2 linked regions of the Arabidopsis thaliana genome follow. The protein of the gene in region 1 interacts with the protein of each later gene in a pairwise test. Each region holds a gene or a part of one and is shown on either strand. Other genes may lie near its edges.

Evidence for each region.
Region 2: the proteins of SCY1 (region 1) and AT2G39630 interact in a protein complementation assay, tested with the Arabidopsis thaliana proteins (one study listed by BioGRID).

What each region holds. Positions count from the first base shown.
Region 1 is NC_003071.7:8,111,584-8,116,458, forward strand, and holds SCY1 (SECY homolog 1), read right to left. Parts: upstream 2,903-4,875; 5' UTR 2,870-2,902; coding exon 2,667-2,869; intron 2,457-2,666; coding exon 2,299-2,456; intron 2,217-2,298; coding exon 1,531-2,216; intron 1,450-1,530; coding exon 1,236-1,449; intron 1,149-1,235; coding exon 985-1,148; intron 879-984; coding exon 648-878; 3' UTR 501-647; downstream 1-500. Other genes in the region: TPS11 (trehalose phosphatase/synthase 11), read left to right, coding at 1-216; AT2G18720 (Translation elongation factor EF1A/initiation factor IF2gamma family protein), read right to left, coding at 3,337-3,906, 3,992-4,210, 4,296-4,523, 4,607-4,709, 4,786-4,875. UniProt on the Arabidopsis thaliana protein: Involved in protein export. Probably interacts with other proteins to allow the translocation of proteins across the chloroplast thylakoid membranes. Required for normal greening during embryogenesis. Central subunit of the protein translocation channel SecYE.
Region 2 is NC_003071.7:16,521,197-16,526,699, forward strand, and holds AT2G39630 (Nucleotide-diphospho-sugar transferases superfamily protein), read right to left. Parts: upstream 3,588-5,503; 5' UTR 3,366-3,587; coding exon 3,253-3,365; intron 3,174-3,252; coding exon 3,125-3,173; intron 2,605-3,124; coding exon 2,498-2,604; intron 2,342-2,497; coding exon 2,296-2,341; intron 2,007-2,295; coding exon 1,872-2,006; intron 1,744-1,871; coding exon 1,654-1,743; intron 1,573-1,653; coding exon 1,441-1,572; coding exon of another isoform or gene 1,414-1,440; exon of another isoform or gene 1,340-1,413; coding exon of another isoform or gene 1,326-1,339; coding exon 1,242-1,325; intron 1,149-1,241; coding exon 1,084-1,148; intron 1,002-1,083; coding exon 812-1,001; 3' UTR 548-811; downstream 1-547. Other genes in the region: AT2G39620 (Pentatricopeptide repeat (PPR) superfamily protein), read right to left, coding at 1-282; AT2G39640 (glycosyl hydrolase family 17 protein), read right to left, coding at 3,975-5,159, 5,352-5,503.

The sequences.
Region 1 (4,875 bases):
CAAGATGTTTCCTCTATTGGTCTCGAAGAGGTCTTTGCGTGCACAGTTGGTCAGAAACCGAGCAAGGCCAAGTACTATCTCGATGATACCCCAAGTGTTATCAAGATGCTTGAATGGTTGGCCTCAGCTTCAGATGGATCAAAGCATGAGCAACAGAAGAAACAGAGCAAGTTCACTTTTCAACAGCCTATGGGACAATGTCGAAAGAAAGCATAGATCTTTGAAAGGGTTTGCGTTAGATTTTATGTTGTTGTGATATTAAAAGATTATAGGATTTGAAGGTTTTAGGTTACCTGAAAGGTTTCTAGGTTTGCTATATATGCCTTTTGTACAGAGTATCTTGAACTGGTCAATTCGGTTACTTTGCCCCCATGTGAGATGCTTATACATAGAAAAGGAAATAGATATAATATGATGAATTCATTTCAATTTTGTTTTCTTGTCGAAGAGAGCTCTTCTTCTGATTGAAAATTGGGAAAGACAATTTGTTCTGATGAATTATATACTAGGTTTCACTTTCCTTTGGCAAGCTCATGACAAAAGTGCATTATATACTAATCAAAGTTTAAAACATTTGTTACAATCTATGACAAGAGAACACAGTAACTTGGTTTGATGGGTATTATATGTAAAACAGAAGGTCCAGTTCATGGATCATACTTGTCAAGCTCGTAAAACTCAATGTTCTTGTACTTTTGCGAGATTATCTCTGCTTGAACCTTTCTTGCAGTATCTGTCGCACACCCGACAAGGATCAGAACAGAAGTGCCTGCAAATCCTCTGAATGCTGTCAAGTGAGTGATCTGTTCGACTACAGCAGGACCAGCAGCTAGAACAGCCAGAAATGCAGAACCAAGAACCGATATCCGGCCAAGGACCTGATATTGCAATCAGAGCGAGACATTTTCAGATAGTTGTTAGATGATAAACCAAAATGGGAAGTTTGTAAAAATTGATCAAGGAGAGAGGGAGAAAAGATCTTACGGTTTTGATGAAGAGAGCAGTGCTTTTACCAGGTCGGACTAGAGGGATTGATGCACCTTGGCGTTTTAATTGTTCACTCACGTCGTCCGGGTCAAGTTGCAAGAAAGTGTAGTAGTAGTTGAAGAAAGCTATGAGAAGTATATTGGTTGGAAGATAGAAAGAACCTGCAATAGTTTGTTTGTGAAGTCATCAACAAAAAACAGTTTCAAAGGACCCAATCTTCTTACTTGCTGTGTATTAGGAGAACTTACCTCCAGGGGTTAAAGCAAAAGCAACATTCTTCAAAGCAGATATGCCGGTAAATCGTGCTAAAGTAGCAGGAAGAGCAAGAGATGATGTGGAGAATATGATAGGCATTACTCCCGCACTATTGACCTTGAATGGAAGATAAGCAGATTTCTGAAGCCCACCAGCTTTGCTGGTGTATCGCGAGGCATAATTGAGCGGAATTTTCCTCTCTGCTTCCTGAAAAACTTTGCTTGTTAGACTATATAAGCATACCAAACTTCTTAGATTCATTAAAAGGAACAAAATTTGGTATAGTACCTGAACATATACTATCCCGAGTACCAAGAGGAGAAATGAAACAACGATGGTTCCAAGACCAGTATAGTTTCCTTCCTGTAAGGCCTCTGCTGTTGTTCTACCGAATGATGCAGGCAAGTAAGAGATGATACTTGTGAAAATCAATAGGGAAGTGCCATTTCCAAGTTTCAGATCAGAGATTCTCTCTCCAATATATGTAGTGAGAACAGAACCAAGCGTTAACAACGTAACAGAAGAAACAACCCATTCCGTGCTGAAGTCATTAACGTAAGGACGAAGGTAAAACACTTGTCCGATTGCTTGTACTATCGCAAAACCAACTGAAGCATATCTAGTATACTGAAGAATCTTTTTTCTACCAGCTTCACCTTCTTTTTTCTGAAGATCTTGCAACTTTGGATAGACTTGAGCAAGAAGCTGAAACACAATCTGAGCGTTGATGAAAGGAACAATCCCGAGAGAACATATACCAAGTCTACCTATGCCTCCACCAGAAAATGTATCCAAAGTGCTCAAAATGCTATTCTGATCCAAATTTCCAACAAAAGCTTCTCGATTAACCCCGCCGAGTGGTATGTAAATTCCAAGCCGAGAGAGAGCTAAAAACCCAAGAAGCTTCAGAAACTTCCCTGGCAATGGCCCTTTGAAGAAATCTCCAAAATCAATGGAACTGTCCTCAATAGCAGCTGAAGTTTTCAAAGAGTAAAGCAACCATCATCAATCATGCTAAAACATACAATAAGCAAATGTAGATAAGCCAAAACGAACCTGCCACGCCTCTACCAGAAGACGGCTTATCTCGCCTGTTACCGGAAGAGCTTTCAAATGATGGTGACAAAAGACTCACAAAGCTTTCCCAAATGCTACTTAAACCAGAAGTTTCATCTGGATTGATCCCCAACGGATCAAAAACCGAAGCCTCAGAGCTGAAACATCAACTCCAATCAACAAACAATGCAGCAGTAAGTGACAAAACATCAGCATTTCTACGAACTAGTGATGAAATAACCCTCAAATCTCCACAATTCAAGAGAAATTCACATGAAAAGTTTCGAACTTTAAGTCGCAATATCTATAACAAGATCATTATCTTCGATTTCAAATGGAACCCATCTGAAATCTGAAAGAAGAAGTACCTTCTAGAGTTGATAACAAGACCGAGATTCCATGATTTGGCTTTACAAGTGTTCCTCCTGGTCTTTGTCGAAACAGAGAAGAAGCTTCCTTTGTAAAGAGAAGAGCTTCGCAATCTCGAAGATGATTTGTGATTGAGACGAGACAGAGACGCGAAGTTTGAAGAAGAAGAAGAGTAAGAGGAAACTTCGCTTACCGTTATCATCCTTATCCTTCTTCTCCTTCTCCACAACAACGACGATTTCTTCTTTTCCTTTTCACTTTTTTTTTTTTTCTTACGGAATCCAGCTAATGGGCCAGGCCTTTTAGGCCCAATACATCTTTTGCACATTATTAATCTTTGTTGTTTTGGGCGTTAGGAATGAGACCATGACTTCAAGTCTTTCTTTCTGTTTCTTCAAGACTTCAAGTTTCAAGTTTCAACAATCACAAATTATATCTTTCTCTCAAATGAACTATGTAGGATAATTAGTTAATTAAGCTGTAACATCCATAGACTATAAAACTTTTAATAACAAATCAAGATGATGCAATTGATCAAACTCTAGTTAGACTTCACACAAAAAGCATAAGCACATAGAAGTTTAGTTATCTCCTTTGGTGACAGATTAGGAATACTCTGAAGATATAATGAGACTACAAGTTTGGTATATGTGAATGCATCAAATATAATCATGCCAAAGAAGGAGGAGAAGGGATAAAAATGGTGGTTCCAGCCTCAATCTGACCGCGACCGATCAAACGCCAATGCCTATCCACACGGCGACTTATAGCCACTTTCTCTCCAATGCTGGTGCACACAGGGAGTGTCAGATTAACTTTCACCATATCTTTCTTTACTCCAATAACCATAGCTCCCGTAGACATCGATCCGATATTCAACATCAGTATCTCTCCCTTGACTAGCTTTGACACTCTCATTTGCCTCTCTGTTTCCTTTGTCTTCACTCCAATGAGACGTGTCAGAAGCTGGAAACTCACTTCAAGTTCAACATAGACATCAGGGAGAGTACCTATTTCACCAAGGACTTGACCAACTAACCTATCACCACGCGTAAGCGTAGGATCCATGCTTGTCCCAATTCCAATCAAACCTCCCGGGACAGCAAACTGAAGCTCGTTCTGTTCCGCGTACAATGAAGTTATACGCGTGTAAATGGGAGTGCATTTAGTGTCTCCATTCTCATCTTTTCTAGTGATTCCAGGTCTTATCTCTATTATATGCCCCACCTTCAAAACACCCTGCAAACAAAGCAAAGAGAGACATAAGTTACATTGATTCAACCGCGATTTATCCTAGTTTTTCGGGGTATTGAGTATGTTTTACCTGAAGGATACTCCCACCTGCAACTCCACCTTTCATACCATCATAATCAGAGCCAGGTTTATTGACATCAAAAGAACGAATCACAATCATTCTTGGAGGTGACACAAAATCCCTCACAGGGAGTGGAATCTTCTTGACAATGTACTCACACAAAACATCGATGTTGTATTTCAGTTGCGCTGAGACAGGAACTATAGGAGCACCTTCCGCATTCGTGTTCTGTAATAACAAGTTTAAAACTTAACCAACTAATCAAGAAGTGAAAAATGCAAAAAAAAAACAGAATGGGAAAATTGAATCAAACCGTTATAAATCTCTGGATGTCCTCGTGCTGTTTAATAGCCTCGTTTTCTTGGATGAGATCAATCTTGTTCTGAATGATTATGATATCTTTAAGATGCATCATATCAACAGAAGCAAGATGTTCAGCTGTTTGTGGTTGTGGACATGTCTCATTCGCAGCAATGATTAGTAAAGCACCATCCATAATCGCTGCTCCATTCAGCATTGTCGCCATTAGGATATCGTGTCCCTAATCAACACACAAAACACCTCATTAACATATAGAAAATGGTTACAAAAGATTTAGAAATAGTGTTAAAACTCATTTTATACCGGGCAATCAACAAATGAGACATGTCTTAGTAGTTTCATCTTGTACTTCTCATGTCCAGAGACATCACAACTTGGGTTGTCTTCTTTGCCACTCCCGAAAGACCTATAATTAACACATATCATAAGTTGCTACGTACACTACGTAACCTTATTGTAGCAAAAGAAGAGCAAGAATTCACTTGTAGGCTACTGGTCTAGGGCATTTTTCACATTTGTAAATCTTTGCGTTTGCGTAACCAAGTTTAATGGTAATGTTACGCTCCAATTCA
Region 2 (5,503 bases), 8.4 Mb from region 1:
TTTCTCCTCCGACATATACCCGAAGAATCCGAGAGCTTCTCTGTGCAAACCGGCTCTCGTGTATCCTCTGATCATTGAATTCCACAAGACAACACCTGGATCTCGAACTGAATCAAAGATGACGCGAGAAAGGTCCTGTCTTTGAAAGAGAGAATAAGCGTTTATGAGCTGGTTATGAGGTTTAAGACCTGAGACTATCAAGCTGCCGTGAACTTGAAGAAGACACCGGAAGTTCTTACATTCCCGGAGCATAAGGAGGAGGTTAGTGTAGTTAATTGGCATTTCACCGGCGACGAGGATGCATTTGCAGTTTTTTGGCGGTTTATAGGAAAAACCGTTAAATTTGAAAGCTTCAAAATTTTCTGTAATATATAAATTATAAAATTGAAGTCATTTAATTAGAGCGATTTAGTTTATAAGAGGATCAATCAGTTCCTAAGATTAAGACTTTAATCTTTAGTTCATGCCATGAAGATGTAAAACTCAAAGTAGAGCACTGTCATTGGAATGTTTGAGTAGTTTAAACTTTTTTTTTTTTTTTTTTTTTGAACAAAGTTTGAGTAGTTTAAACTAAAACCAAAAAAAAAAAAATCTAGAGCTGTAGTAGTTTCATTTCATCATTTATAATCCGGTAAGATTTTTATCACATCTATTGAAACAAAGACCGACATATTTTCTATCGCCTTAGCTTTCCTTGAGCTTGACCAGAAATTCAGAGACATCAAAACTATATCCTCTCTGCAGAAAACCAGCGTGGACGAGTTGTTATTCCCAAGAGGAAATGCTCTATGTATGTTGTTGTCTATGTGTCTCATACTTGATGGATCTTCCACATGCCAGTTCTGTATCCCACAGACATTAAAGCAAGCTCCCAAAGCATGTTTGGAATGCTCAACATACTGACTTTAGACCCGGGAATTTCGGACCATTTCACAGAGATTTCAACCATTGGTATATTAAAACGCTTGCACAAGTACACCAATTCAACATCAAAGCACCACCTGCGCATAGACCGAGTCAGATGAGACTCTTATTGATGTTTTTACTGCTAGTTTATCATCATCGATTCATTTACTCATATACCTTTTCAGATGGACGTTTGTGAAAAGTCTCCTAGCAGCAGCCCTAGTAAACATCTTGAAGCCACACTGATTAAAAAAAATGATGTTTAGTTATTACTATTCAAGATTGGTGAAACAGAGAGTGTAGAAGGAAACAACGAATGAGATTTAAAAAGCCACCTGTGTATCCCGAATACCAGGACCAGCAGCTAATAGAACCACAAGATGGAAACCCTTCATCAGAAAGTTGCGATACCATTTCCTCTGAAATTGAAAGACTAAAAGTCAATTATCTAAGATGCGTAATAAGTATATGCATCTGTGTGTGTACATAGACAAAGAATGATGTTGTCTAGAACAGAAGTTTGCAAGACTTAACTGTAGCAAGAGCTTTCTCCTCGAGATGAGCACGAGAACCAAATGCGGATACTTGAACATCACCTATTTTGAAATCCATATCCTTAGATGCTGGATTTCTGATTGAATATTCTTCTCTGGCTACTGCATTGATCTGAGAGGCTAGGAGATCAGGAAATTTATAGCACAATTTCTAGTTTCTCTGAAGTTTTAACAGTCAAAACTAAGGGCAAACCTGATTTTCAAGTTTTTCTAGGTCCGTTACTTTAGTTGCTCCATCAGCATCCAACATGAGAAGTAGCTGACCCCGCGAATGCAACATTCCCTATTCAATGCTTTCAAAAAGTAGAAAGCTTCGATTATTTTTTTGTACTATGAAATGACAAATTTACAGTCTTACTCAATCACATAAAATAAATATATAGAATTGCATGCGCTACGAGTTGAACTCACTTTTCTTATAGCTTCTCCTTTGCCTTGATTCTTCCCAAGGGGTATAACCCTTATGTTGTCAATTGTGTACTTTCTAATGAAATCAAAAGCTACTCTTTTTGTTCCATCAACACTTCCATCATCAACAATCACCACCTAAAAGGAGAAAAGGTAAACTTAATCCACTGATGCATATAGGGTTTAAGGAACACAATAACGACTTATTGAGAAATTTAGCATGAGTGGGCAGTCTATATTGATAGATTAATAAGTTGTGAGCATTACTCTCCTTTTTTTAATAGAGTTAGGTAAATCAAATTTAGGGACAAAAAACGTTTAAAAGCTCATACATATTCACCATAACAAAGGCCATATCTATGTTAAGAATCCACCTTAATCAGTTGTAAGGAGAACTACTTAGTATGGAAAACTACTTAGTATTTACCTCAAAAGAAAAACTCTTGTCCCGTGATGCACGATCTTGAAGGTAACTGCAAACCAGAGGCGAATTACAATTATGCCTCTGTAGTATGCATAAATAAGACTTGTGCTGCTGTTTCGCAAGAGAAGCAAACTTCTCACGATTGGAAGCAGACACACAATCCAGTAAAAGGGAGATTCGAATAAGTGGAAGTTGTCTAACTTACTCCATTGTTTCCTCAAGAGCAGCAGGAAGTCTCAGTTCTTCATTATACGCTGGAACTATTAAAGACAAATACTTCTCGGCAGGGTCGGTAATATGAGGGCAAGGAATCTGATAATAAAGTTTGAAAAACAGGGTCAGGAAAAGTAAAATCAGATTCCTCAACCACCAGAAAATGCGATCAAGCAAGTCAAACTCGTTATAATTGACAAGACAATCTATGTATGGATTCAACATTATAATGGAACACTTAATTTTTCTAGCTAAGCCACTAACTTAAGAGTTTCCAAAGTCTGCATCTGGAAGAGACTCCATAAACTACTTATCAAGTTTCACACGACTATACAATATAACTTCTCAAGCTTCTTTGCTAAACCAAAATGTAACATTTGATACAAAAAAAGAGCTAAACTAATGGAAACAGTTCCTCTTAAAGACTACGTGAAGCTTCAACATTCGTTTTAGCGAAACACAGAATCAAGTGTTCAAATCGCCAACGCAAAACCTTTTTAACGAGAAAATCTCAGTTCCATTAACTATAATTAACTGATTTTCAAAACGCTATCGTTCTTTGCCACACTATTGCCAGAAAATCACTGTAAACTAATACGATAAATCAATCAGACGTTACCGGTTTTATAGATTTCGGATCGTCGAGTGTAGTCACGGTCTCGACAGAGCTGAGAAAATCCAAAACAAATCAATCAAATCTTATCCTCAGAAATCGGAACAAATTCGAAGAAATTGAGTAAAACGTACACGTTACTGTGTCTCCTTCTCCAAGCTTCAAAAACAACAACGGATAGAAATCCGAATAAGACGATCAGCAGCAGCCAGAGGCTGAATTCCGCAACTGTTACCAGAAACTCCATTGTTGCTCCCGAGATTTGAGATCTGTTTTGCTTTCACGAGAAAGAGAGAGAGTGAAGAAGGAGAGATCGAAACCAATCCGTGAAGAATAAGCAAGAAAAGCTAAAGTCTAATGATTGATCCGTGAAGATGGTTCAATCCCTAATTTCAGATTAAAATGCAGCAGAGCTCAATTTGAGATAGCCATTTCGGTTTGACTTTTGGTTTAGCCATTTAGGTTCCGGTTCGTTTGGTAGTGTTAATGTTGAACAAAATCTCAAATTATAATAAAATAAAGTTTTATTGATTAACAATTTTCAATATACAGAAAAAAATGTGGATTAAAATATGTTAAAGAATAAAACTGATCAATATTATGATTTGGAAATGGCAGATTATATATATGAATAACTAGAAAATGAATAGATGGAAATGACAAAGTATAATTTGGATATTTTACCATATGTATATAATTTTTCTTTTTCATGTACATGTCTACATAAATATTTGAAAAATATAATGAAAATTAAAGATACAACATAAAAACAACGAAAAATGATTGTTCTTATAATGAAATAAAAGGATCTTGTTTTATTGATTTTTTTCAGTTTCTGTAGTTGCTTTTTAAAAATTCAGAGCGTTACTGATGCTGGTACGACGCATGTGCTAGTGCTTGGGTTGGTAGTAGTGACGATGCCACTACCACGGAAGTCACAAGCGTCTTTGGAGTATCCTTTGCTCTCGTAATAAGCGTTCATTATGAACGTGGATCGAGTCTTCATGTTGTTGTTATCAAAACATATGCCACCAGGTGATATTGGTTTACAATCAATACCTTGGCTACACACCCAATCAATATTAGCTTGTAGTTGTGTCTCTGTCGCTTCTTGTTTCGCCATACACCAATTTGCACTTTTGCTTTTTGCGCCATTGCCGCCGCCACCTTCCCCTATCGGTATAGGGCATGTGCTAGTGCTTGGGTTGGTACTGGTAACGATGCCAGTACCGCTAAAATCACAGACAACATCAACGCATCCCTTGCTTTGGTAATAAGCGTTCATAATAAACGAGGACCGAGTCGTCATGTTGTTGTTGTCAAAACATATGCCACCAGGTGAGATTGGTGTACAATCAATACCATGGCTGCATACCCAATCAATATTTGCTTGTAGTTGCATTAACGTCGCTTCTGGTTTTCCCACACACCATTTTCCATTGTTGTTTATCGGTGGAAACGGAAGCGGGCTTCCACCGCCTTTTAGAACTCCAACATCATACATCGGTGAAAAATCCGGTTTAAATATCCCCCAATTTCTCTCACGTGTTGGACCGGGTTTTCCATCTTCATTGAACAATGCAAATATGAAGATATCGATGTGGCGGTTGGGCATTAGAGGTGTCCCTATAACTTGTGCACGCTTGATGATATTGAGGTTGTAGTTTTCAGCGTTTTGAGGTGAGCACCATGAAGCGTCACAAGCCGTGGGCCAACCGGTCTCCCCTACCGCGATATCTACGTCGCCATAGCCAAGAGCTTTCATAGCAGAATATGTTGCATCCATGACTGCGTCAAACATGTTGGTGTAGGTTTGTTGTGTATTGGTATCCGTTATTGCATTTGATGGACCAAATATTGCGTAATTGACATTGTTCGTGTCCATCGTGAAAAAAGTGTAGGCGTTGATCATGAATGGGGACTTAGCCTGACGATGAAATTCCAAGATCTTTGTAAAAATATCTTTTTGATCGTTAGTAAATCTGCTCTCACTTGGTGTATTACGGTTATAGCTTATGGTAAATGCATGTGGAGTTGTCACCTGAAGCCAAATAATGGTGGATTAATTACATTTTGTTGATAGTAGTATCAAATAACAACGTATTCAAAAAATATTTATGAAATATGATTCATATGTAAAAAAACAAAAAAAAAAACATTCATGTATTAGTATTAGTGTTTTCGTAAACGCAAGTTTTTTTTTTTTTTTTTATCATCATGACTTGAAACTAACCTTGATATAAGTGAGATTGGAAGCTTTTAAAGCTTCGTTAAGACTTTGCATCGCTGGTACAAGATTTGATATCAAGTTATTGTCGTTACTAGCAAGAATCTCGTTTCCGACACAAACGTATTTGAACTTGATCTGCTGCTGAAACGGTAAGA